7 linked regions of the Cricetulus griseus genome follow. The protein of the gene in region 1 purifies or fractionates together with the protein of each later gene. This does not show direct contact. Links are inferred from orthologs where the notes say so. Each region holds a gene or a part of one and is shown on either strand. Other genes may lie near its edges. The genes, in order: Capza2, Svil, Twf1, Cracd, Cnot1, Kiaa1671 and Tnks1bp1.

Region 1 (3,500 bases):
AAGGATTTGTGATAGGTAGGGTTTTAGTTGTGTGTGTGTGTGTGGGGGGGGCGCGGTAGGGGAGGACGGGAGGGAGAAGGGAACGGGGATTGTCATGTAAAACAATCTTGTTTCTAATTCAAATAAAAAAAAGTTGAAAAAAAAAAAAAAAAAAGATCACTATGACTTTGGAGAAGACCAAATTCTGGTGAAGAGTCTATCTGGATACAAACAATCCTAGGGGGAAAAAAAAATTTCCTACTCTAATTCATTTTGAAAAAAATAGACATAGGTTAAATCAATGAACAAGTAACATTAAAACAACGGGAAATAAAACTATAAAATACTTGAAATAATTATCTTATTTGTTCTAAGATTTCTGTAACTGAATTAAAGCTAATTCAAGCTAAATAGATGAAACATGGACAAAAGACTAAAAATAGCATCACCATTTTCTTGTGTCAGTCAACCTTTTGGAGATAGAATATATTTCTAGAAAGGTAAACACTGTTTGAAGAAAGAACTTTGGAAGCTATGGCTGCTGTACACATTGCTTTAAATTTCAGGGGATTATACAGACTGCCACAGATGTGTAAGAAACAAAGGAAGAACTGCCCACTGGTGACTCACCGTGCAGACCCCGTTCGGATAATGCTCTTTTACATAAGCTCGCAGTGCAGTCTCTACTGAAGTTCTCCAGGATTCAATAGCATTCTCTGCTTCGTATGGCCTTGGATCAGTTGCTTCCTTTCTTAAATGATCAAATTTGAAACAGATTCTGTTTTTTGGATCCAAAAACTTTCCATTTCCCAAGTCTCCATGTTCTGTTATCAACACCTTAAATTTTCAAATGAATTTAGGGAAAATATATTAACATGGATGCACAGTAACAGACACTTGTTTAAGCCCCACAAGGACACCAGAGATATTCTTAATTAGTGTGCATTAGAGTTTCTTCCAGTACAGTTTCTGGATACTAAATGGGAAACTGACTATCCAGCCCTCTATCTATCCCCTACCCACACAATGAGCCACAGTTTACTATTTCTGACAACCAAGACCCTGCCAATCTGACAGTTTTAATACAGTGAGGCAGCTCTTCAATCCTGCTTTGTTTGGTACCCAGTCTTCTCTGTTCCCCAGCATGTGCTTCTGTTTCTTATAAACTAATCACCATTAGTAGTTTCTAAAACTTTAAAACAAAATTTATACATTTATGTACATTTAAGAAATATATGAACAACCCTTTTATTTTGTGTCTTACTTAAAACACACACACACACATACCCCCCTTTTCTCCTGTAGCTGTCCTAGTCTGTAAGTACTGACCCAGGACAAGACTTTCCCATCCCTCTGATGTAAATCATGCTGACAACATAGGATGTAGCTTTTCTAAAATTTTTGTGGTAATAAATGCCACATTAGATAAATATGTACACCTATCTATCTACATATCTGCAGACACACACGGTTTGTGGGCCACTGTTTTCAAAGAATGATAAAAATGCATATACAAACATACATTTTTATGACAACTTGTTGGGCTGGCTCAGACCTTTAGCTTAAGATGAAAAGTACCGAAGACATAAAGATGGGTGACCATATGAGACCCAACCTCAATGGGGATAAGGAAACTGAACATTCTACACTTCCTCAGAAGTCTGCTGATCCCTTGTCTCAACAAAACTTGATCACAGACAGTCTCCTATCATCTTAATGGCCAGAGGAAAACCCACCCCCAAAACCTGATGCAGTTCCTTTGCCTATAACAGTTCCTTTTACTTAATGTTTTCCTGCAACATTCCTGCCCAATTAAAAGCACTCCATAAAGCCCCAAACTCCTTTTTGGCAATGCTACGTTCCCTTCTCTTGGGAACAGCGTGTCTTCATCTGAATAAATCTTTGCCTTTCGGACAAGACATGGCTCTGGTGGTCTTGTTCTCTTGTTAAGCCACACATACCTAGATTTTTTTTCTCAACACAAACCATCTACAGAAATCTCTTAAAGGCTACCAGCTATCTCTCACCATTCTCTTTAATGGTTGCCAAATATGCCATGGTGTTAATATAATTCAATCCACCAATCCATTAGTGGTGTCATGTCTTTATTTCCAAGCGTTTTACTTTCTAGAGAAAGGCAAAGCACCATTAAAAATGGTGAAGTATTATTGTAAATCCTTAACACTGTTCTTATTTACAATGGATTCTTTTTAAGCTTTATGTTTTTAAAATTTATCCATTTATTTGAGGTTGTTTGACACAGGTTGTGGTTGTTTGAGACAGGGTTTCTCTGTGTAACCAACCCTGGCTGTCCTGCAACTCACTATGTAGATCAGGATGGCTTGAACTCAAGAGATTCTCCTGCCTCTGCCTCTCCAAGTGCTGGGATTAAAGGTGTGCTGCACCACCACCACCACCACCCCCGCCCCCAGCTAACTTTTTAAACTTTAATTGACATATAGCAATTATGTCAGAGGACAGTTTTGCTTTGTTTTTTGTTCTTTTAGAGACAGGGCTTCTCTGTGTTAACAGCTGTCTTGAACTTGCTTTGTAGACCATGGTGGCCTCGAACTAAAGAGATCCGATAGCCTCTGCCTCCTGAGGGCTGGGATTAAAGCTGTGCACCACCATGCCAGGCTTAGAGGACAGCTTTTAAGAGCCAGGTCACTTATTCCACTGTGGGTTCCAGGAGTCAAAATCTGGTCATCAGGCTTACACAGCCAAGTGCTTTTACCCACTAAGCCATCTTATTGGTCCTTATTTGTTACTATGCTTAAATTTTTTAAAACTATAGTCATGTGTGGAATTAGTATACATCACTTTTTAAGAAATTTTTTGGTCTGAAGTATTGAAATTATGCCAGCTTGTTAAATGACTTCAGAAACCATTAAACATTTTAAAAAGACGTATTCTCTAATTCTGCTAGAGATTTATCTAAAGAAAACCATTGTCAATGTTACCAGGAATACAAAGACAATCAATGTAGTATTGCTTGCAATGGTAACCAATTAAAAAAAAAAAATCAAAAGACCAAAATCTCTGGAGAAATGAAGTAACAAGTATACATATATATCTTTAAAAATATATTTTAAATTATGTGTATGTATGTTCGTGTAGCTGCTCATGTGAGTGTAGATGCTCATGAAGAAGAAGTTATAGACAATTGTTACTCAAGTGGTTGCTGGGAACCAAACTTGGGTCATCTGTAAGAGTAGCTAGTCCTCTTAACTACTGAGCTCTCTAATGTCAAACGTGTCATACGTGTATATTTTCCCTTTAGTTACAAACTGCCTAGTCTTACAGTTCTTCCCTTAAACTTTTATTACACAGTAATGCCAAGTACAAGCAACCAAAGACTTCAAGACCTACAGATTTAAAGCAATTATTTTATAGGAACCTTATTACTTTATGTTTTTGAAAGCATGGTTATTCAATGTAGCTCAGGCTATCTTGGTACTCATTATGTAACTAAAGCTGTCATCTAATTAATGGCAATTCTGCTGTCTCAGCCTCATAAAAGC
Region 2 (3,500 bases), on another chromosome or scaffold:
AGCCTCCTTACCTTGTGGCATGAGTCTTTTCTTCCCCTGTGGTGGAGACCAAATACAGGGCCTCATGCATGCTAGGCAGCACCCTCCCCTCCCACCCACCCTACTGTTTACATTTTAAAGGTAGAGAGTACTGAGTTCTGGGAAGGGCAGGTAAGGTCCCCCAGGGTTAGCCGGCTTCTGCAGAGATGGGAACAGTCAGTAACTTTTGACATCATTTTCAGTTTTGCTGTCAAATATTTAAAAATCAGAAACAACGAAAAACAAACCCTCCTTAAGTTGGTTTTTAATTAAGGTGCAGCATCAATGGGAGAGAGCTAAGGCCTCATGATTCTCTTAACAAATGCCTTCTTCCTAACATTCCTGTGGTGGTGTGGTCATGAGTAATGACATCCAAACTGACCATGTCTTGGGTTCAGATGACATAGTCAGCTTAGCCTCCAAAGTCTGCGACGAGTATGTGTGTAGTGCTTCGAGAGGTAACTAAGCAATGAAGCTCAGTTGGAAACGTAAGTAATCACAAATGCCCACCTATCCACTGGGCAGTGAAGTGGCTGTCTCCCCGAAGAATATATGTTTCCTTGGCACAGCCAGCCACCCGCAACAGCCACACCTGGGTCTGGACTTGTACAGGGTCCTGAACTAGGCATTGCCTCCTGTACACTAATGCTTACAGTGATGTGTATGAATGAAGTCTCCCGGGGCGGCTAAGTATTTCATTAGAATAAGCCGATTCAGTGAATGGGCTTATTCTAATGTGACTCTCAGTTTAACTGGGCAGGGAGACTTTGGGGCCACACTAGAATATGAATGCAGATTTGGAGATTTCACTTCATTTAACTGGCAAGCACTAGGTGTCTGTGTTCAGTGCCCAAATGCATTTCCACATGTTGCTCTTTCTGCATTGGCTCCAAGGCCATCCGTGTTCTGTGCATGCTCCCTTCCCCTTCGGTGATTTACACACCACAACATAAATCCTATTTTTTTCTTAAGAGTTAAAGTTAGAGAAAAATTGGTGAAAGAGGAGAGTGCTCCAAGCAGCCCTGAACTCACCTCAGAGTCCTTAACTCAGAGGAGGCAACAGCCAGGACCTGCGCATTTCCTGTCTATCCAGTCAGAAAGCTCTGCCTTCAATAGGGTCACCAGCAAGGTAGTGAGCTCACTACGGCCAAGCCGGAGCTGTGTCCTTCCAGCTGACCCTGTTCATGCCATCAAGCTGGTGACCGTGGATACCCCAGAAAGCACATCTGAATGCAGCTGGGTGGAGTCAACCACCCCAAATGTCATAAAATCTACTACCTTGAAGATTCTAGAAGGTGGGTCGAGGAATGCTCCAGGACTGCGTATCTGTGAATCAAAAGCAAAAGATGTGCTTGCCCCTGAAACTCCGGAGAGGAGCCCCAAATCACTCTTGACCTCGGAAGATGACAGCCTGGTGAGAGGCCACGAAGATCCCTCTGGTAATGAAGATTTAGATGAGTCCACCATTCACTCCATCGCCGTAGAACCTGAGAGGGAGCGGCGAATTCAACAGCAGCCCACTCAGAGAACTGACCGGAGTGCAATGGTTCTGTATGTTCAGAGTGGTCCTGTGTCCCAAGATGCCACATTGACCAGTCACACAAAAGAGGCCTCTCCAAAGAAGCGCAAGGTCCTGGCCCGCTCCCTGTCGGATTACACAGGTCCCCCTCAGCTCCAGGCCCCCAGACACAAGGATGTAGCCCCAAACCAGGAGCTGGAGCTGCGGAGTTCCAGGGCAGAAGGGCCTGGTGCAGAAGCCAGCATGCTGGACACCAGAGTCTCCGTTGCCCAGCTCCGAAATGTGTTTCTGGAGTCAGCCAGAGCCAGCAAGAAACCTGAACTGTAGGTGATGTTCCCAGCATCCTTCCGATATGTCACTTGCACGTCTTTGGCAGACGGTTCACTTCTCCACCCATGGTGTGTCCTGTTAGCTTAGCTCACAAGTGTGTGCAGGGCAGAATGTACAAGAAATGGCTCACACACTACCATTCTGCTTCTGCCTACTAATTGGGATCTAGAGGAGTGGGTCTCTGGAATGTTCCACCTGCAGATGCGATGCGCATGGTAGCAGCATGTAGAACCTAGCGCTCTGTGTCTTCCACTGAGATGCATAAGCCTTTCCTCTGTTCTCTCTCTCTCTCCCTCTCTCCCTCTCCCTGTTTTGCACTCACTGCCCTGTGGTCCTAAAAGCCAATCCCGAGTTGAGAGATCAGCTGAAGGAATTGGCTTGCCCACGGAACGGGAGAGAGGGTCTCGGAAACCAAGACGCTATCTTTCTCCTGGTGAAAGCAGAAAAACTTCTGAGCGATTTAGAACTCAACCTATAACTTCAGCAGAGCGAAAGGAGTCGGATAGGTAGGCACGTGTGTGTACTTCCAGCAATTCAAACACGGGGTTCTCAATACCCTGGTGGGCCTGATGCTGTTTGCATAGGATTCCAGGATTATTCCATCTCAGCTGTAAGGATACTTTTATTTATGGAATTGTATTTCCAAAGAATGTTGCTTTTTATACCTGATATCCCCTATAGGTGTGAACTGCCCGCAGATCAGGTGAGGAGAAACACTTTTCTTCAGTCAGTGCTTCTCATTTTTTGTGCTTTCATTAAACCAGGGTTTGAACTGAGCATCTGCCATTGGGCATAAGGGATTTTGTATTCATCTTATAAACAGCTTACTTTTTATATTTACATTTTTGTATGATGCCATCATATGTTAATGTATAGAAACCATAAGGTTCACCAGAAATGTGCACTTAGTCCCACGTAATAACTTCTTGTCAGTACTACTTTTTCTCCACAAGTGTGCACCAGGCTGGGGTTGTGTGTACACGCTCCACAGTGTCAGCTAACAACTGTTTGTAGTCCGAGACAACTCTTTAAGATAGTTCACTTGCATTGTGTTTCATGTTTCATGTGTAGCTTGTGTGCCCACCACTAACCATCACCATTATCTGTTTCTGTTTTTCCTAGGTACCCTTCGGGTTCAGAGGTGCCAATGGTTGAGGGCAAGTATCTCTTTTCTTTTTATTCTTCCACATCATGTCCAAATTAGATTTAAGACCTAAAATTTGGGGCTTTGGGGGAGATAAAACTGGAGCCTATCAGGTTCTTGCTTTCTTCCAAATTGCCTTGCTATGAACCCTAGGTGAAATTTCAGATAAGCCTTCCCTTAGCTTTTGGTAGAAGTTAAGAGGCTTCTTCAGTGAGCAATACAAAACAGCCACTGTGACTAAAGAAGCAGATTTCACTGGTGACTGCAAGGCAGTCTGTTCCTAAGGTCCCTCCTTATATCCTCTTAGTCAGACTATTACAATAAACATCACCCTTCTGGACACAGTTTGGTTTGAATTGCGATGAGAACGCATGAGCTCTTCATGAAGGGAGACTTCCCATTTGTGAAGTCAGTTCACCTTCTCTTGGATTCGAGGGCTCGCCAGGTCAGTCTTGAAAAGCATTTCAGAGAGGAAGCCTGTGCTTTCAA
Region 3 (3,967 bases), on another chromosome or scaffold:
AACAATATGCAGTTTATGTAAACTTAAAAACTCAGAACTGCATTGTATGCTAGGCAGGCATTTAGGTAAAGGGAATAGTTCATATACATATAAAACTTTAAACTGCAGCTACCCCGTGGGAAAAAAAAAAGAAGTGCAGCAGTCAAAAGATGTTTTACATCAGAAAAACAGTAACATTTAAAAAATTAAATTTGGAGAAAAAATTAAAAAATATAAAAAATTAAATTTGGCTTGGAGCAAACTATAAAGTACCAAGTCATTAATTTAAGAGGTAGGTATTTATTTTTTTCTTCTCTGAAATTTCCTAATTTGACATTTTTCTAAGATTAAAAAAAAAACTGGAAAATATTTAGGAAATAAAAATTTTCTATCTGAAGAAGTGCTAATTAGGTACATTTCATCTTCCCATTTTGTTTACTAACTAGTCATTTAGGAAGTAATGACATTCAATGAAGTAGACAATCGTTCCTATTGAATATTGTAAGATTTTTCTAAACTATTTTCACTTTTAATAGGTGGAAAAATGAAAACTAAAGTTGATTTATTTCCAGTTCATGAAAGACAAGTTATTTTTCCAAAACAAAAGTCTCGAGGGTATTTGAGAAGGCCAAGGGGATGATTTTAGCACATTCATTTTGATAAAAAACTATCAAGAGTGACTTCAAATTCATCCAATTCTGATCTGATATGGCCACTCACACAGTTTTCCCAATCACACAATTACTGTTAAGGAGCCTGTTGTTAGAATGTTTCCAAACAAGAAATAGCAATACTCTCTTTACTCTAGGGCCCAATCAGATCCCCCCCCCAAAAAAAAAACCAAAATAAAAAAAAAACCCATTGAAATATTTTTAAATCAAAACATACTTTACTGAATTAACTCACAAATAATTAGTTTTGTTTGTTTTAAAGTAGCTCCTAGTTACCGATTTCCATTCTGGAAGAGGAAGCACTAATATTAGAAGTGGATTATAACGCAGAAGGATACACAAAAGATGAAGCTATCACAGCAGAAACCATCTGGAGTTTCCTCAATAGCTACACAATTTAAAAGGAAAACATGCTGAAAGGCAAAAATCTAAACTTGTTTCATGCTGATTGATAGTTAAAATTACTAATAACACTTGGAAACCTGAAACTGTAACAGCAAATACTCAACTGGCACATAGTATCTTAAAATGTTAACTAACCATTTTCAATAGATATTTTCAGAAGCCTGTATTTCCCGTTTCTGGCTCTGGCAAAGATCTCTTTAACATCTTCACTTGCTGTGGAAAATGACACAGAAAAATAAACCCATTTTTAACTTAAAAGTACTTTATTTTGCTCTTTACACAAAACAAAGAAAAATGTGGAGTATATAGCACTTTCTTACTGTTATTATAAAAGGCACACAGAGTTTGGGCATTGAATATTACTAAAAAAATAAATACTAACATTTTTAAAGTAAATGAACTCAACATTTTGGTTACAGAATTCTATAGCAGAAGTAACACTGTGAATACTTTTAGTCAAACCCAATAATGGACAAATTACTTCATGTTTGAAAACCTTGAAAGTTGCTTTTACAGTCCAGTTTTAAGTTTGTGACAGCACCTTCATTTCCTGTTATCTGTCCATCAAAAACAATAGGATCAAGTCTCATATTCTGATTAAAAGAAAAGCGTGTAAAATGCACTAGATCTTCCGGTGTTTACATTTTTTTGTATCTCTCAAAAGGCTATAGTAGTCACTGAGCATATAAACATTTAATAACCTATCCCTTGTGTACTCAATTTTGTCCTTGTGTTGCTGATTCCCAGCAAGACGACTATTTAGGTCTTGCTATATAAAAGGCTCAAACATCAAACTTAATAATTTTGACAAATTTAAATGTCAAAACTTACACGGAAAAAAAGACAAATGTTTTTCGGCATGAAACTATTTTTGCCTGGGTGTGTATAGAAGAAAGGTGTCAAAAACCCTGAAGCACAAAACAAGTTATTAACTGGTCACCTAAGGGGAAAGACTCAGTTGACTATTACAGGAAGTGCTCTAGTTTATGCTAGCATTCGTTAAATAACTCCGGGATATATTATTTGATCCTGAGGAGGCGAGTACTTCCAAGTTGCCTGTTTTCAAACCAGGAAATAATGGAGGGTTAAGGGATACAACTAATTGCACACTGAACTGTCTCCACGGGGTGATTAGTTGCAGACACACAGACCAGACTTCGGCTGCCTGGGGAGCATCCAAAGATGGAAAAACACTTCCTCAGGATTTCACCGAGAGGAAAGCACGCTCCCGTTCAGAGAGAACAGGAGTAGGGGAGGCAGCCTACAGCTGTGGGATTTGTTTGTTTTTCAAATGAGTGCTGGGACAATCTCCTCGGCAGGGGGTACCGAGGAAAGTCGCTCGGAGCCAGGCCAGCCTCGGGTCTTCCTGCTCCAGGATCGGGGGCCCGGGAGGCGGCAGGTCGGGCCCCATACCGATCCACACTTGTCGGCTCTCCCGCAGCCACTGCCTGTTAACGTGGCGGCGGCCGGGAAGGGCCGCCAGGGACACGGTCGGGGCCGTCGCACCCAGAGCCGCTCCAAAGCCGTCCGCGCCTCCAGCGCTCGGGCCCGCCGCCTCCCGGGAGCCCCTGCCCCGTGGCGCCGTTACCTTGGATGCCTGTCTGGTGGGACATGGTGGCGGCCGCAGGTTCCCGGCTCCGGCGCAGGGTGCGGCAGCGGCACCGGCCGGCGGATCCAGGAAGTAGCGGGTCCGCCTGCGCGTCATCTGCCCGCGACCCTCCGCCCCGCCTCCCAGCACCAGCTGCCTTCGCCTGCCGGGCATAGGCCCGCCCACATCCCCACCTCCTTCCCTTTCACTGGCTTCTCTCTGTTGTCGTCACAGTCCCCGCCCCTCCAGCCTCTGGTCACGCCTTTTCCGTCACTGGCCCCACCCCTCGCTCCCGGCCCTCTGCTGCTGTGCTTAACAAGGCAGCACCCTATGGCGACGTGTTGCGACCCATACCAAAAAACTAATCTTAGAGGAGAAATAACCATTTCCCCAAGCGTACGTTTTCTAAGTAAAAAACATGCCCTTTGTTGTAAGGAAAAGGCCCCTTTAAGTCCACAGATAAAACAGTTTAGCACAGCATAAGTAAGATGGGGTTCAAGACCACTTCTGGCCTATTTTAAAATATGAGAGTATAGAATCCTCCATCATTTCCCTCGTGATTTGAATTTAAAGCTGTTCACTTTTTAATTGGTCACTCACACAAAACCACAGTTCTCACCTCAAAGAGAAAACGGTAGTTTATTCTGAAACCAAATATGCAGGTTGTGTGTGTGTGTGTGTGTGTGTGTGTGTGTGTGTGTGTGTGTGTGTGTGTGTGTGGCGAGCGCGCCATCCCCTAGTATCATGTTCCAACTTGGTAACAGTTGTATGAATTCTTTTTTGCAGTAGCAGAACAAAAGAAATCATAAATCAATGCATCTTTAAAATTATATTTGGTGGGGACATGGGTTCAGATATTAGCTGATGACATTTTTAACCTTTAAGCTAAGTCGTCTGACCATCATAAAAGGATTTCCCTAATGGTTCCAAAGATGGATGTTAGGTAAGACATGGAAGTGGTCAGTCCAAGATAATCTGGCTTGGGACCTACAACACCACAGTCCTACACAATCAGGTAGTTCTAAACAGTCAGGCAACCTTTTGAGGCTTTAGCAGGTGTGGGGTGGCTTTCTTCCTGGGAATTTCAGTTCACAGCACCTTAAGAGATCTCATTGTCCTTTATCAGATTCCTCAGACCTGAGTATAAAGTCACTGAAGCACTGAGCTGACCTCTGTGAAAACCACTGAAAACCATCAATAGGACTTTGCTTCAGGTTAGCCCTTTGTTGTTTCAAATCAAATGTATATTCATAATTACCCAGAATAAATTTGTATGGAAACAGCAGATAGTAGCTAAAATTCTTTCTCACTTTAGGCTATTATT
Region 4 (3,500 bases), on another chromosome or scaffold:
TATCAGCTCCCTGCCTCCAATAAGGCCTCTTTGGATTTCTTGAGCCTTGCTGAGGCTTAACACTTTGCCGGCATTCCATAACATGTTTGGGTGCATGTGCGTTTTTACTGTATGTGGTGTGCGATATGAGATTTAATATTAGTAACTGGACTAAGAGAACTTGGTTTGCCAATGGCCAAGGAAAACAGAGGTTGCTTGGCAAACGGCTAACAATAAAACTGTTATAGCTTGTGAATTTACTGTTATTTGATCAATTCTGACATTGCAGAAAGACATAACCATGCCCATCTATGGTTTCTGGCATGTCACACTCACCGCAGTACTCTAGGGGCTTCCATAAAGGAAAAGAAGTAACCAAGCCAACACTTCTCAAGGAAGCAAAACCCACCCCAAATCTGAACACTTAAAAAGAGAACCTTCCTGGCCATGATCCAAACTTTGTCTCTAGAAAGATTAGGTGAACATTCCATGGAAGCACAAAAGCCAGTTCAGATCTCCATCTAGCCACCTCAAATGTTCAGTATGAAGAGGCAGTCAGAGCCAAGGGTTGCTCTGACTAACCTTCCTTCCTTCCTTCCTTCCTTCCTTCCTTCCTTCCTTCCTTTCCTTCTTTCCTTCCCTCCCTCCTTCTTTCCTCCCTCTCTTCTTTTCTCAAGACAGGGTTTCTCTGTGCATCCCTGGCTGTCCTGGAACTCTGGCTCTAAACCAGGCTGGCCTAGAACTCAGAGATCACCTGTTCCTGCCTCCCAAGTGCTGCCACTACGGGAAGTCTGCAGAACTGAGAGGATGTTAAGCTCATTTTACATAACAGCGAAGAAACTCCACAGTTCCAAGGCTGATGCCAGGACCTTCCTCTCTCTGTTCTGCAGCAGCCACCCAGAGGGAAGGCAGTTTCCGGTCTAGAAAACTCTACTTTTGATCACCTCTACAGACTTGCTCAAAATGGTTAAAGATATCTGTGTTAACTGGGGCTACATTTCAATCCAAAGGATGTTAAAGTGTAGAAGAACTGATTTGGGGCCAACTTGTTTCTAATTAAGATGTTCCCAGAGCCAGTTCCCTGGGCTCTCTCTCAATTCCCTCTCCACCGAAAGAAGCTGGTTACCCGGTGTGATCCGCAGCCACATACCTTTTCTACCTGTTTCAGAAGTTAGTGAAGGTCTCTCTTGCTGGCTGGATGACAGAGGTGGGGAAGCCGGTTTCTTTTCAGGCACCTCTTCCTCATCCCTCTTTGGCCCCTTCGGCTCCTCTGGCAGTGCTGGTGAGGACGGCTGGTTATCACTGCTCTCCCGGCTCTCCTTGCAAGCCTCGTTTGGCTCGGAATCCACCTTCCCAGGCCGCCTAGCAAGCAGCTCTACCAAGTAGGGTCTGCTCAGTTTGGAGAGTGGGGATGATGGTGGAGTCTGGCTGGTGGGCTTGGGAGCCAGGGCCGGCTTCTGTATTGGTGGTGTTTTGCTTACTGCCTTGTCCTGCTCTGGAACTAGGGTCTGGCTGCTGGCTGGTGGTAGCCCTAACTGGGCTGCAGCAACAGAGTGACCCCTAGAAGGGCTTTCGGCAGAGTCCCTCCGAGGGGCTAGCTTTTTCTCCTGGGGAAGGGATGTGCCATGCTTGAGGGCCACCGCTGCGGGTTCTTTGTCTCCAGGGTCGCTTCCGGCTGCGGGGGTGCCACCATCCACAGTGTCTCCGGTGCTGCTGTGCCTTTTCTTCTTCTTCTGTTCAGCCTGCTGGTCACACTGGAAGCGCAAGGAGTAGTTGGTCCTTCTCAGTTTTATACCGAAGGGCGAGACCTTTTCCTCACCTCCTGGCACCACAGGGTCTGGCTTTCCTATTTCACTCGTGGTCTCGCTGTCCAAAGTGGTCGTGGACCCTGTGCGGGAAGCAGCTTTCTGCGGAGAAGGCAGGCCCGGCACGAGGAAAGATGGAAGGTCTTTGGCAAATTTGCATCCGTCAGTGGTGTCTGGTGGCTCCTGGCTCACCTCTTGCTTCTCCATGCTCTTCCGAGGCTCCGGAGCCGCAGCAGGCGGAGGCTGGGGTGTTGTCTCTTCACCCGGTGCTGGGCCCAGCTTTTTCCTTACGCTTTCACCGTCCAGGCTCTGTTTGAAGGTCTCCGCGCCGCCGTCTGAGAATTTCTGCCAGGCCGGCATGATGGAGAACTTGGCATTGACTGGCGGCGTCCTGCGCAGGTTCCCTCGGGAATCGCACCGCACTCGGGGAGCGGGCTCGTCCCCGGCTCTGACCGGCTCTCTGTCGCCACGCTGGTCACCCTCCGCATTCTTCAGGATCCTGGATCGAATGGAAGCCCACTCGGCTAGCGCCGCGGCATTGCTCGGCGACTCCGGGGGAGGCCTGGCCTTGCTGCCGCTGGACCTGACCTCCACTGTGGGAACGTCCACCGGCCGCTTTTCTTCTGACAGGCCCAGGAGGGACTTGCACGCCGTGTCCTTGATCTGGCTCAGGTTGACCGCCGGGCCGCAGAGCTGCGCTCCAGTGACCAGAATGGCTGTGTGCGGGATGCTTAGCGCAGAGGGCAGGGCGTGTGGGGCGGCACCGCGAGGCACCGGCGGTTCCTGGGTCACTGGGGCCGAGCTCGTGTCCTTGGCGGGAGTCACCGGACTCAGGTTGACTTTGGGGAAGAGAATCTGCCTACCCCCGGAGGACACCTGGAACGTGTAGGGCCGGGGCATGGTCTGCCGTTCGTCCACCTCCTGCCACCGGAGCTCCTCCACCTTTCGGTCTTTATCTGCAGGGACAGCTTCGTTCTTGTCCTCTGAGGCCGGCGTTCCGCCAATCTGCTCCTCTTGAGGCCGGGGGTTGTCTATCTGAGTGGCTTCTCTCTCTTCCACGTCTACACCCCCACACTCCATGCTCAAGTCTCCCCTCTGCCCTGCTGGCTCGCTGCCCGCATTGGCTTCTTCCTTCTGCTCCTGGGCCATCTCTTTCTGCCCCACGGATTCCAGGTTTTCTTGTTCCTCTGGCTTCTCAAGGTCCCGCTGCAGTGGGCTTTGCTGATCAGAGTCGTCCGATAGCCGAGGCTGGCTCTCTCCTTCTGGACTCTGGGGGCCTTCGTCCACCTGCGGCCCTGGCGCCTGCATTGCCTGCCCTTTCAGCTCTTCTATGTGGTCGGCTTCCAACTCTTCCTCCTGCCTCAGCTCCAGCATCATCCTCCTGGCCTCCTCCTCCTCCTGAGCATGCTGCCTCTGGGCCTCGAGCTGCCTCAGTGTCTCCTCCTGCTTCTGGGCCTCCAGCTTCCTCAGCTCCTCTTCCTGCCTCTGGACTTCGAGCTGCCTCAGTTTCTCCTCCTGATTCTGGGCCTCCAGCTTCCTCAGCTCCTCTTCCTGCCTCTGGGCTTCGAGCTGCCTTAGCTCTTCTTCCTGCCTCTGAGCCTCGAGCTGCCTCAGCTCCTCTTCCTGCCTCTGAGCCTCGAGCTGCCTCAGCTCCTCTTCCTGCCTCAGTTTCTCTGCCTGTCTCTCGGCCTCACGCTGCCTCAGTTCCTCTTCCAG
Region 5 (3,500 bases), on another chromosome or scaffold:
CTTTACAACTACAAAATGATTTCACACTGGGAGAGTGTGGGAACATTGAATTCATTTCAACATAGACTCTGTAGCATCTATCTGTTTTATCCTCTAAACGGAAGAATTTGCCCCAAACCAACAACAGTGTCCACCACAGAGGAAGCCCATGGGAAAATCAGGGAGGACAGAAAAGATGGAAACATAATTCACCCACTTCTCTATTACATTTCCCCGAATCCTCTTTGACTCCTAGTCCCGTCTAACTTAATGTCTCATTGGCCAAACAGTATTTTATTTAACAATCAATAAAATAAATATACACAGAACATTCCCCATCACGCTTCCCCTGCTAGGAAAAAATAAAACAATTCCTAAAACTGTACCTTAAAAATACTTTGACGTTTTAAGCAGTTAATTCGTATCCCAGACCTGAACAGTGGAACACAGAAGCTCCCTGAAATCAGCCCCAAGTAAATATGGCCATGAGCAGACATCATCCTGCGTATACCTGAGGCTGCAAGGGGTGGGCGGGGGGTGTCATTCTCTACATTTTCAGAGTCAATGGCTGCTAATGGTTGGTTTGGGGGCTTAATCTCAAGTGGGTATTTCTCAGCAGTGTCTTGAACTTCCTTGGCAATTCTGTCCATCCAGTCTATTAAGTCTTTTTCAAGTTTCTTAGCTTCATTCATGATCCTTTCCTGACGTTCATTCAACTGAGACAGGAGGTCCAAGTTCTTTTTTGGTTTTTCAAAACAGGGTTTCTCTGTGTGGCTTTGGAGCCTATCCTGGCACACGCTCTGGAGACCAGGCTGGCCTCGAACTCACAGAGATCCGCCTGCCTCTGCCTCCCGAGTGCTGGGATTAAAGGTGTGAGCCACCAACACCCGTCCAGAGGTCCAAGTTCTTATACATTTGCTTCACACCTAAGCAGGCTTCGGGGGACCAGGTCTCAGACTCCTGCTTCCTTGGGGAAGTCTGGTCGGACATGTATCGGTCAAAATTCTCCTGACTTAAATTCAAAGACTGAGCCTCTAATTTCTCAATGAAAGCCACAGCACAGCACAGGTTGGTGAAATAGTAGCCATCTTTGCCAGTCATAAGCCGGCTGGGTTTGCAGAAGCGAGTGGTGTACTGGATGTTGGACTGCAGCCGAGGTGGGGGTTGCCCTTCAGGAGGATGTAGATGAGGGTGGGCAGGAAGTCATCAGCTGAGGCTGGCTCATTCTTGGTCATCTGATGGCATTGAAGATGTGCTTGCTGCACGTGATGATGCAGGCTAGCTTGTCCCGAGGCACACGCTTGAGTCCATCTCAATGATGTCTGTGATCGCTTTCACCACCATGTCAGACACGTCAGGGATTTCCTCATTGACAGGGACACAGAGCATCTGAGGTGTCACCCAGTGCAAAGCCCTGATCCTCTTTTGAATGGCAAGCTCTTTTTTCTCATTATCAGTAGTCTCTGGGCAGAACACAAATTTATAGAGACGGGTCATAATGTGCTTTTCCATCTAATCCATTATCTGGAGGCACTTTTCCACGAGTCTGCATTCTTTCAGCCACATTCTGGTATAAGTCCTGAGTACATTCTGACTGTTCCTCAATGCTTAAATCCCTTTTGTAATGCATTGCTTCCAAGAACATCTTCATCTGTTTATAGATTTCTTGGCCTGTCTGTGTCTTGAGAAAGTCTATGAACTCTTTAGTTATTCTATCCGTCTCAATGCTGATTTGCCTGTTTATGGAGGGTCTGGGAGCTTTGGCTTCCTGAATGTCTGCCTTCTTGGATCCAACCCTGGAAGAGGCATTGAAGAACTTCTTCACTGTGGTGACCTTGTGGGTCTTCTCATTGGTTTTCTTTTCCTCAAACTTGGAGAAAGTGAGGGACTGGGCTCCTTGGCTGCTCTGACTGCTAGCAAAGGCCTCTTCCTCTTCCCGCTGGCCTTTCTGCTAGCTCCCAGTCAGTCCTCTTGGATCTGCTTCTGGTGGGCCTTGTGGTACTCCTCCCTCTAGCACTTAGAATAGAAACCCTGCCAGGCAGGGGTGCCCGTAGTAACTACATCCTTTCTTGCATAGGAGCTCAGATTGAGCCACATGAATTTCCCAGCGTTCAGACTTCAGGCTCATCTTTCTGGTCCGCCCCTCCTCCGGCATCCGACAGCCGCTCCCAGCGCCACTTCAGTCACTCTGCTCCTCGCCCCACCCCTCCACAGCAGTTTTCTAAGTGCTAGATGAAATAGAATGTTTTAGCTGGTTGGATGGTGAGACAGTGCTGAACTAGGTCTCCACTATTGAGACATTAAAGGAAATCTGTAGAATGTAAAATGGTAGCCCTCCCTCCCTCTTAATTTATGTATTTGCATTGTTGTTTGCCTACACGAGCATCTGTGAAGGGTGTTCTATTCCCTGGAACAGGAGTTTACAGACAATTGTTAACTGCTGTGTGGGTGCTGGGAATTGAGCCCAGGTCCTCTGGAAGAGCAGTCAATGCTCTTAAACCACTGAGCCATCTCTCCAGCCCCTTAAGAATTTCAGTAAAACATTTTTATTAACAGGTTAAGCACAGTCTTTTTATAAAAACAAGTATGTAAGGCTGGATGGTGGTGGGTGCATGACTCCTGAATTCTCTTGGATCTACAGAATTCCAGGACAGCCAAGACTACACAGATAAACCCTGTCTCAAAAAACAAAAGACAAAAACAAGTGTGTAAGAGTTTCGCTAATTCATAACATGGAAAGTTTTGCAAATAAAACCTACAGAAGCAAAAACAGTGGGATCCAGAGAACCACTAGTAAACCACAGAATTAGAATAACCTTCACAGATTTTCATGTCATCCTTGCACAAGGCCATGCTGATTTTCTTATTTGTGTGGTTAAAAGTGAGTTCCCTGGTATATCAGTCCCCTTCAGAAACAGAACATTTGTCTCCCATATTGGCCTTTCAGAGTAAACCCAAAATCTCATTTCCTTCATTTTTAGGCCGGTATCTTTTCTTAAATGCAATTGCAAACCAGCTGCGGTACCCAAACAGCCACACTCACTACTTCAGCTGCACCATGCTGTACCTTTTTGCTGAGGCAAACACTGAGGCAATCCAGGAACAGATCACAAGGTAAGAGATCATTGTCAAGATGCCTTAAAAGGGCACTATGGACTTCCCTTTAAGGTTTTAAGGAGGAGAAACTAGGAGCAAACTGTTTTCTGTTGTTTAATATGCATATGGTACATAGTACAGTGAGGTACACATACCTTAAAGATTTTAATGTATGTTAGGTGTGGTGGCACACCCCTTTAATCCCAGCACTCGGGAGGCAGACAGATCTCTGAGTTCCAGGATAGCCAGTGCTACACAAAGAAACCCTCAATAAAACAAAAAAGATTTAATTTACCTGTTCACCTCAATAAATACTAGTGCCCATTGTTCTCAGATGTTCACAACATCTGAACTGTTGTGTTTAATGCATGCTTGGATGACAAAGTACCATTTTGTTTGTAATTATGTCTAAAGCTGCAACAAAG
Region 6 (4,209 bases), on another chromosome or scaffold:
CTAACATATAAACCAGTGAACCAGCACCCCCTGAGGCGTGTTGTGAGATGGCTCAGGGGGTAAAGGCATTTGTTGCCAAGTCTGATGACTTGGGTTTCATTCCCTGGACCCAAAGAATTCACGTTGGTCCCTGGCTGCACCAGCTACCAGGGCCTTGAGTTCACCCTCGTGGAAGCATGTAGAGTACTGAGGAGGGTGGATCCCGCCTTGTAACATCTCCCTGCTTCGGCCACAGTGGAAAACAACAAGGCTGGAGGTGTGGGAGGTGTTGTGTGGTACTCTAAGTGTTGGCAATGACCTCAGTTGATGACTCTGTGCACTGAGGGCTACCAGGCTGAGGGCTCCTCTGTGAGGACACTGCCCACATCCCTTCAGAGTTTCTCTCTTATCTGATGGAAGGTCCTGGTGGAATTTTGGTTCTAGTCCCAGATCTATGGAGGCAGAATCAAGAGGACATGGAGTTCAAGGTTATCCTAAGCTACCTAGAGAATTTGAGACAGCCTGGGCTACATTAGACAGTGGCCCTGGTCATCTAGGATGTTGGCTTTATTTTTCAATATATTCATGGATGTTGAGGCCTAATCTCTATATGTGTGTATGTGTGTGTGAGACAGAGAGAGAGAAAGTGTGTGTGTATATGTGAGAGAGAGAGAGAAAGAGAGAGATGAAGAGCGTGTGTGAGAGAGAAAGAGAACTTGTGAATATCTCTTCCAAAAATCTCCCAACATATAAACCAGTGAGAGAGAGAATGAGAGAGGGAGTGTGTGTGTGGGTGTGTGTGTGTGTGTGTGTGAGAGAGAGAGAGAGACAGACAGACAGACAGACAGACAGACAGACAGACAGACAGAGAGAGGGAGATGCTAGGGATATAACCCAGAGCCTTGCATATGCTGAGTGGGTACTCTGTCACTGAGACACACGCTATCCCTGCTCCTCTAATCTAAAAGGCAGTCTGACCCTGGGGACAGCTTAGCCACGGAACCAGGCTGAGCTGGAACTGATCCAGCTTCACTACAGCACCTCACCTTCTCACCTCATTTCCCACTGTGCCCCCATGGTGAGTACCAACTGAGCCCAGCGCTAGGGATGTCCAGACCCTCTTCTCACCTCTGTCTGAGAGCAATCATTACCATTCTCACCTCCCCTCAGGGCAGTGGTGGAATAGGTGTGTGGGTGTTGGGCTAGCCTTGAGCTTGTATGTAGTTATTGGGCTAGCCTTGGGCTCGTCAGTGGGTATCGAGGCAGCCTGAGGCTGAGCGAGGTTCTGGAATGTGTCCACTTACGGTTTGGTCAAATCTGCAGGCAACGACTGCCCCTGTGATGCCCTTCTCCTGACCTCCGGCTTCGTCCCTGCCCTCTCCACAGTCCAGCCTTTGATCAGAGCCTGAACATTCACACCAGCTCTCTCAGGCTCTGGCATTGTGGACTGGGACTCCGGGGTCACAGGCGAGGGCTCGGACACCACTGCCAAGGCTGCAGCACTGCCTTCCTCAAACAGGCTGAGGCGCTTCCTGATGCTCCTGGCAGACTTCCTCTCCATCCCTGCAGGAGCCTCCTGGTCAGACACTCCACCCTTGACCTGGGCCAGCCCCAGGCCTCTTCCTGGCCTGAGCAAAGGGGGCTCCAGCACCTTCTCTGACTGCTGATCTGGCTTTTCCTCAACCTGGAGACTCTGATCATCTCCAGGGATGACCCTGGCCCTTGGAGTCCTGGGACTGTTTGTATCTGTCTGCTTAAGAAGAACCTTCTCCCTCCGTGCATGGAGCCTCTTGGCCACCTCCTGGAAGTCTGAATCTGGGTCCTGAGGGGTGGTGTTCATGCAGGCAGGACCCTCTACATCAGCCCTGCGCTCCATGCTGGTCCTCTCTGGGCCCTGGGGCTCTGTTACAGTCTGCTCACCGGCCACCTTCCTCAGCAACGTCTCTCTGCTCTCAAACGCAGCCGTCAGGTCCATAGACAGAGGCCTGGGTTTCCTCACCCATGTCTTCTCCGGAGGTGTAGGGGGAACTTTGCCCATGACTGCCACTCCACCTGGGCCTGGTTTGGGGGGCTGCAGGTAGTCGCTGAACACTGCTGACATGGGCCGTCTCTTGGGGTGAGGCTTGGCCTCTGGAGCCTGGCCAGCGGGGTCCTCCACACTGTGGGCCTTTGGCAAAGGTTGGGCTCGGCCTGCCTCCTCCTGGGATACAGCAGACCCAGCATCCTGTGACAGGGAGGTTGGTCGGGGCAGAGTCACTGGGGGCTTTCGAGTAGGGAGGGCAGGCTTGGCAGCCACCTCAGGCCTGGCACTTAAGGGAGATACCTGGGCTGCTCGGGAGCTAGACTCCAGGCTCCTCTCACTGGTTCCTTTGCCCAGGCTGGGTCCAGCTTTGGTCGTTTCAAAGAAGCCCATGGTACTGGGGCCAGACCTCAGGAACGTGGCCTTGTTAGGTACAGACGGGCCATTCTGCAGGGTCTCCCCACTGTCTGCCTCCTGACCAGCTAAGCTCGGCATCCTTCTGGCCAGGACCTCTTTGGCCTCCTTCTTGTCGGTCTCAGCTGAAGGACAGGACTGGGTGGTACCAGGAGCCTTCTTCTCAAGGACCTGCTCCTTAAGAAAAGGTTTAGGAGCAATGGGCAGAGGGAACAGGTGGGTCCGTAGGGGGCTTTTAGCTCTTAGGAGCCTAGTGGAGGGAGCCCCAGGGACGTCCCCAGTCTGGCAAAAGTAGGTCCTCTTCAGGGCTTCCTCCCTGCTGATGTCACCAAGGCCCGGCCCCGCCCTCAGGGATGCGATAGAGCCAACTTCGACCCTCGTCACCATGGTTACGGATGTAGCTCCATGAGGATTAAGCACACCAGAAACGAGGAAGCAACTGCTTAAAAAAAAATTTTAAACAGTAAATTTAGCAAAGCGTATTTGTAGGACTCAGAGTGAGGGTCTGGGGTAATGAGACCCAGAGACCTTAGCCCCAGAGCCCCAGATCCTAATCTCACCGGGCAAGCTCCAGATGCACAGCCATCCTGCTGGGCCCTGGAAAGGCACAGACAGTGACCTTCTGTTCAGAGAAGTCAGGCAAAGCCCTGTGGTCTGAGGCCTTACCTGGCTCAGCCAGTCTGGAGGCAGCTCCAGCAAACCCAGGATGATTACCCAGCAGAGAGAGAGTAAATAACCATCCTCGACTCACACAGCCACGCAAAGCAGGAGGCTCTGGAAATTCTGATAGTGAGGGGCCACGGAACCCTGCCAGCTGCCTCTCCCCATCTCCCCAAGTGCTAATAAAAAACAAAGTCCTTGGGAGTTTTGTTTTGTTTTATTTTCACTCAACCGACTGTTTTCTGTTTGCTATTGGTTTTGCTGTTGAACAACTGTTTATGCCGGCTTCCTTGTTTGTTTTGGTTGTTGGTTTTGCAGTGGTGAGAACTGAACCCAGGGCTTCATGCATGCTGCACATTCTCCATGCTGCACCAGACCCAGCCCCTTAGAGTCGTGGCTAGGATGAGGGCTTATTGTTGAGAGGCCTAGCAACGCCAAGTGCATCTGCTACTCTACCCATGTACCACATCCTCCCTGCAGGCAGGGTCTCACTTCCCAGTGGCCTGGATGCCACTAGCCTGACTTGCTCAGCTTTGAGATCTGCCCTCAGGCAGGAGCACCTGAATCCTCCAGCAGCTCAGAGAGGTGGGGATGGTAGAAGAAAATAGGCCCAGAGAAGTCCCCAATTGGTTTCACTCAGCTAGAACCAGGCCTCCCGTCCTGGCCCATTATGCCTGGTCTTTTTTGTTGTTGTTTGGCTGACCTCGAATTCGCTACCTAGCCAAGATTGACCCTGAGCTCCCCAGTGTCCTCCCTCCACCCACCAGGTGCTGTGATTACAGGTGAGAGCCACACTGTTGAGTTTCAGCCCTGCCTCTGTAAAATACAGCTTTTCTAGCTTGTCTCTAATCCTCAAAGAATCCTAAGAGTCTCCCTGCTCTTGACCCTCCCTGCTTCGGCTATGATAGCCGGCCCTTCCTAACTACCCCAGATATGGCCCAGCTTCTCCAGGTGATCAGAAGGGAGACAGTGTCCTGATTAACCAAGGACCTCCCAGGCCTTGTGTGGCTCCTTCACTGCAGGGAATGAAAGCAGACAGATTTGGCATTTTTCTCCTCATTACACACCCCATGGACTAACAGATTCCACTGAGAATATGGTCTCCACTCAGCTGGGAGCAGAATGGAGATTTGGGA
Region 7 (4,112 bases), on another chromosome or scaffold:
AAAGAGCTGGGCGAGTCAACAGGCTTAGCCAAGGAAGTCTATTTCTAACCCAGGCTGTGTGGGACAGGAAGAGAGAACTCCAGGAGGAGGTCGGGGAGGTCCCCACAGGCGGGGTGGGGAAGGACCCCACAGCCACATCCTTGCTACAACTCTCCAACTCTTGGCTCTGAACCTCAGAGATCTGGAGCATGAGAGCCACCTCACTCACAACATCCCCAAGCACCCTCCTGTGACACCCTACTTACAGTTCCCAAGACACCCTTCTTGGTCAGGCAGCCCCACTAGAGGTATCCACTCCAGGCGGGGTAAGAGGGCCGGAAAGTCTCAAGTCTCGGGAATCACCTCATGGGAGACGGGAAAAACCCGCTCCTCCCCGACCTGGGGCTCCGCCCCACTGCCGCCCCCCCCTTCCCAGTCTCCTCCCTCCCTCTATGGGCTGGGAGTGGCTCCCTACCCCCTTCTCCCCATTCTCCTTTCACATCCCTGCCCCCTCCTCCTTCTCTCAGAGCTGTCTCATCCAAACACGGGGAAATAAGAAATAAAAAGTAAACATCTGGAATACATTTTTTTCCTTTAATTTCTCAATCGTTTTGGCTTCAGCTTGGAATTTGATGAGGTAAAGCCAGGGCCTAGTCCTGTTACCATAGCAATGGCCTCCCACTGGATTTCCAGGGCCTAGCCAAAGGGAAGGAGGAGCCGGCCCAGGATGGGCAGGGAGAGGACAGACTGGACTTGATTGGGGGGCGGGGGGTGGGGGTGGGAGGCTTGACTTGGAGGAAAACTCCTCAGGGTCCAGCCTTCCAGGACAGTCAGGGAGGGACCTGCATAGACTGTGAAATAGGAATATGTGTGGATCACTAGCCTGGAAACGGCCAGAAGGAGTTTTGAGGGACCAGAAGAAATTAAACCAGATGACAGCCACATAGTAGTAGCCTGTCACATGAGCTTCTGAATCTGATATTAACAGATTTAACAGCTAAGTGGGTCTACCATTTTAAAGCTGTGTGACTTTTCCCTATCTGAAAAATGGGGTATTAAGACTTGAGTTTCAAGCCAAATAATGCATGCAAAATACCAAGCATGGAAGTGATAAGTAACAGTTGGCCACTATTAATGTGACTACATTCGGAGTCACTAATGAGCTAACTAACATCCTTGGTAACCACCTATAACTCTCCCCCTACCCTAGGCTGCATTCCTAGACCAGTCCTTCATGACCCCAAGTCATCAGTTCTTCAGGCACTCCACCTCCTCAGTTCCCACCCTGGGTGCTGATGCACCCTCCCACCCACAAGGCCCCCTCAGGCTCTGCTACCTGATGAATAGCAAGCACTGCCCCTGAGGTTCAAAAGCAAGGGAGAAGCTGCCTAACACACGGAATGCACACAACCCTGGAGGGGCAACCCAACCCTCACTGTGTTGCAACCTCAAAGTCCCTTTCCCACTCCAACTGGTCTGAGAAGATAGCTCTCAATGCTAAAAACGACCTGTGGTGCCCAGTCTTTGCAAAAGGCATCCCCATCCCCTTGACCCTGTCCCAGCTTATTTCGAAGAGGGTATGGAGAGAAACTGTGACAATGTCAATCTCTGATCAGCCAATTACCACGGGCTGTGCGTGGGAGAATAACGTGTGTGGGGGGGGAGGGGGTGACAGGAAAAAATAAAATTAAAAATACACAAGATTGCTTCCTTGTCCTTGAACATTATTACAAGGGATATGGTGTGGGTGGTTAGAAATGAAGAAAAACTAGTCTAGAAAAAAAAATCCTCTCACCTGTGGGCTTGATGGACACCTCTGAGGTTATAAGGGGCTGCAGAGATGAAGACAGAGGAGGTGGCTACAGTAGAGAGGCCCCAGCCAGGAGCCCCAGGAAACCAAGGCCATGGCCTCAAGCTGCAGAATCGCAGTGCCTCAAGAACTCCGCACCCTTAATGGTCTAGGGAAACCAGACAGCCTTGGGAGTAAAGGCTGCCCCCAAAGGATGGGAAGGCACTAGGCAGCCTCAGTCCTGGGCAGGCAGGCACCCTAAGGGCCGGCAGGGTCGTCCCTAAAGGTCTCCTGCTGAATGTGCGACTAGTGCGACCAGGAGGGTTAAGTGTTGGAAGAGGGAGGGCCAACAGGAAGGCGGAACAGCCCAGGGCAAGGGGCTGTTTGGAGGGCCTCCGTGGGGAGCTTACGGACATCGAGCGGCCAGGCGAAGAGGAGGAGCAGATGAGGGTGGAGGAGGAGGGGGCGGCAGCAGCGGGGACAGTGAGAGATGCCAAGCAGCCCGCGAAGGAACAGACCGAGGACTGGCGAGGAGGACTGTGAGGGCGGCCTGGGGTGGCTGGGGGCGTGCCATGAGAGTTGAGGAAGAGGGCCGGTGAAGGCAGGAGGGGGGGGTCCCTCGAGTAGCTCCGCCCGCCCCCGGCCCGGCCCCGCCCCACCCTCGCCTCTCCCCGCTTTCTTCTGGCTCCCGGCACGAGTGCTCTCCACCCCCGCACACACGCTCCAGCTCCGCAGCGCCCCCGCGTCCCCAGGCCCTCGCAAACTTTCCTAGTGACCCCCCCACCACCATCGCCGCCGCCCCAATCTGAGGTCGGGACTGCTAGGCGCCCGGTTCTTTCCATGCCCTTCCCCGCCCCCATCCCCGGACCCCGCCCCCTCCGGCCGTCGCCGCACACTCACGCGCTCCCCGGGACGGGCTCCGTTCGGCTAGGCACCCCGACGCCAGTGACCGCTGCTGCCGCTGCCGCCACCGTCACCGCGGGACCGAGCCAGTGCAAGCCCCGGGGCCCCTCCCATAGCCCCGCCCAGGGACACGCCTCCATGCCGTTCATGAATATTCATATAAGAATCCGTGAGAGGGAAGCCGAAGCTGAAACAGAGTCCGGCCCACGAGATGCAAACAAGCACAGCTCGCACATAATTATTCATGACCTTGTAAATGAGGAGCCGGTCCTGATTCAGACTTAGGCGAAACTGACGCAATTTTACCCCAGCGCCACCGAGATGACTGCCTAGAGAGGAAACCGCTCTGGACTGCTTTCCCTAAGCCTACACTGATTACAGCACCATAGAGCGCGGGCAGCACGAAGGGAACCGCTGGCGGACTGAACAGGCTTCCTGTTACACCTGAGTCTTCCTGGGAGCGCAAGCGACGTGGCCACCCGTCGTGTATAAATTCAGATTGAAAGCCACAGTAGAAAGTGGAGTAGCTTTTTCCCTCGTGTTATCTGTTTAAGAGCTCTCTTAGATACACTTCCCAAACATGAAATTTTGTAGCCCTCCCTTCACACACTTAACTTCACTCACACACTACTCATCCTCCTGACTCAGGTTTCCACTCCCTGCACTAGAAAGTCGATCCTCATTCTATTACCTCAAGCCTTATAAGACCCTTGTCTCCTAAAGTGATTAAGGATGGAGCTGAGAACCCCGCCCCCTCCGACTCCCACCCCTGTGCTGGCTAATGGAGTGGAACTCTGAGAGGCTTCCTAATCAGATCAGCACTCATTTCTTGACTCTCAGGTGGCATTGTTCACAGACAAGGGTGAAAACCAATGCTTGTCCAGCCAGGAAGGACAGGATGTGCTTCAAGACTTGCTTCCCAGCTGGGCAGGAGGGCCCTGCAGAGTCCGGATAGAAGGGTAAACACCACATGTAAAGTGGGAAAGGAGACATAAGGACATGGTTTCCAAAGTCAGTTCCATTTATTAAATTGACTTCACAGACCAGAAATACAAAATAAAAGTAGAAATAGGCCCCTATTAGGAGCTACAGGCCTGACTTCACATGACCCCTGATGCAGCCACTTGAATAAGACAGGAAGCAGCTTTATCCCTACAGTCGGGCAAGTGAGCCGAGGACTTAGATCCTTCAACGCACTGTGAGCAGACAGAATGCACTCCTACCCAGTCTTTCCCCAGATTACAAGGAGCCATTCTTGCAAAGCAGCTGAGGTTAGATGTTTCCCTTGATGCCTGCCTCAGAGAAGTGGAAGCCACCAGGAGCAGTTACTCAGATGGCACAGAGTCCAAGAACTATGTAGAAAGCCTGGAGATGTGACAGGGCAAGGACAAGAATTTTCTTCCTCTACTCATCAGATCCTGAGGCAGAGTCCTCTGAGCTT

What was found.
Region 2: the proteins of Capza2 (region 1) and Svil purify together in Homo sapiens (affinity purification with mass spectrometry; 3 studies listed by BioGRID and IntAct, counting the BioPlex papers as one, with this or other methods). This does not show direct contact. The link is inferred for Cricetulus griseus from reciprocal best matches to the Homo sapiens genes CAPZA2 and SVIL.
Region 3: the proteins of Capza2 (region 1) and Twf1 purify together in Homo sapiens (affinity purification with mass spectrometry; 3 studies listed by BioGRID and IntAct, with this or other methods). This does not show direct contact. The link is inferred for Cricetulus griseus from reciprocal best matches to the Homo sapiens genes CAPZA2 and TWF1.
Region 4: the proteins of Capza2 (region 1) and Cracd purify together in Homo sapiens (affinity purification with mass spectrometry; 3 studies listed by BioGRID and IntAct, counting the BioPlex papers as one, with this or other methods). This does not show direct contact. The link is inferred for Cricetulus griseus from reciprocal best matches to the Homo sapiens genes CAPZA2 and CRACD.
Region 5: the proteins of Capza2 (region 1) and Cnot1 purify together in Homo sapiens (affinity purification with mass spectrometry; 3 studies listed by BioGRID and IntAct, counting the BioPlex papers as one, with this or other methods). This does not show direct contact. The link is inferred for Cricetulus griseus from reciprocal best matches to the Homo sapiens genes CAPZA2 and CNOT1.
Region 6: the proteins of Capza2 (region 1) and Kiaa1671 purify together in Homo sapiens (affinity purification with mass spectrometry; 3 studies listed by BioGRID and IntAct, counting the BioPlex papers as one, with this or other methods). This does not show direct contact. The link is inferred for Cricetulus griseus from reciprocal best matches to the Homo sapiens genes CAPZA2 and KIAA1671.
Region 7: the proteins of Capza2 (region 1) and Tnks1bp1 purify together in Homo sapiens (affinity purification with mass spectrometry; 4 studies listed by BioGRID and IntAct, counting the BioPlex papers as one, with this or other methods). This does not show direct contact. The link is inferred for Cricetulus griseus from reciprocal best matches to the Homo sapiens genes CAPZA2 and TNKS1BP1.

What each region holds. Positions count from the first base shown.
Region 1 is NW_023276806.1:208,890,533-208,894,032, forward strand, and holds part of Capza2 (F-actin-capping protein subunit alpha-2), read right to left. Parts: intron 817-3,500; coding exon 610-816; intron 1-609. UniProt on the Homo sapiens protein: F-actin-capping proteins bind in a Ca(2+)-independent manner to the fast growing ends of actin filaments (barbed end) thereby blocking the exchange of subunits at these ends.
Region 2 is NC_048596.1:209,309,419-209,312,918, reverse strand, and holds part of Svil (supervillin), read left to right. Parts: intron 1-990; coding exon 991-1,860; intron 1,861-2,208; coding exon 2,209-2,373; intron 2,374-2,989; coding exon 2,990-3,024; intron 3,025-3,500.
Region 3 is NC_048595.1:391,074,365-391,078,331, forward strand, and holds the start of Twf1 (twinfilin-1), read right to left. Parts: upstream 2,801-3,967; 5' UTR 2,669-2,800; coding exon 2,644-2,668; intron 1,269-2,643; coding exon 1,191-1,268; intron 1-1,190. UniProt on the Homo sapiens protein: Actin-binding protein involved in motile and morphological processes. Inhibits actin polymerization, likely by sequestering G-actin. By capping the barbed ends of filaments, it also regulates motility.
Region 4 is NW_023276807.1:143,290,549-143,294,048, reverse strand, and holds part of Cracd (capping protein inhibiting regulator of actin dynamics), read right to left. Parts: coding exon 1,130-3,500; intron 1-1,129. UniProt on the Homo sapiens protein: Involved in epithelial cell integrity by acting on the maintenance of the actin cytoskeleton. Positively regulates the actin polymerization, by inhibiting the interaction of actin-capping proteins with actin.
Region 5 is NC_048596.1:171,908,708-171,912,207, reverse strand, and holds part of Cnot1 (CCR4-NOT transcription complex subunit 1), read left to right. Parts: intron 1-475; exon of another isoform or gene 476-719; intron 720-888; exon of another isoform or gene 889-2,122; intron 2,123-2,960; coding exon 2,961-3,093; intron 3,094-3,500.
Region 6 is NC_048597.1:92,814,329-92,818,537, forward strand, and holds the start of Kiaa1671 (uncharacterized protein KIAA1671 homolog), read right to left. Parts: upstream 2,801-4,209; coding exon 1,284-2,800; intron 1-1,283.
Region 7 is NC_048599.1:90,486,593-90,490,704, forward strand, and holds the start of Tnks1bp1 (182 kDa tankyrase-1-binding protein), read right to left. Parts: upstream 2,801-4,112; 5' UTR 2,669-2,800; intron 2,159-2,668; exon of another isoform or gene 1,775-2,158; intron 399-1,774; exon of another isoform or gene 246-398; intron 1-245. Other genes in the region: FACT complex subunit SSRP1, read right to left, coding at 4,076-4,112.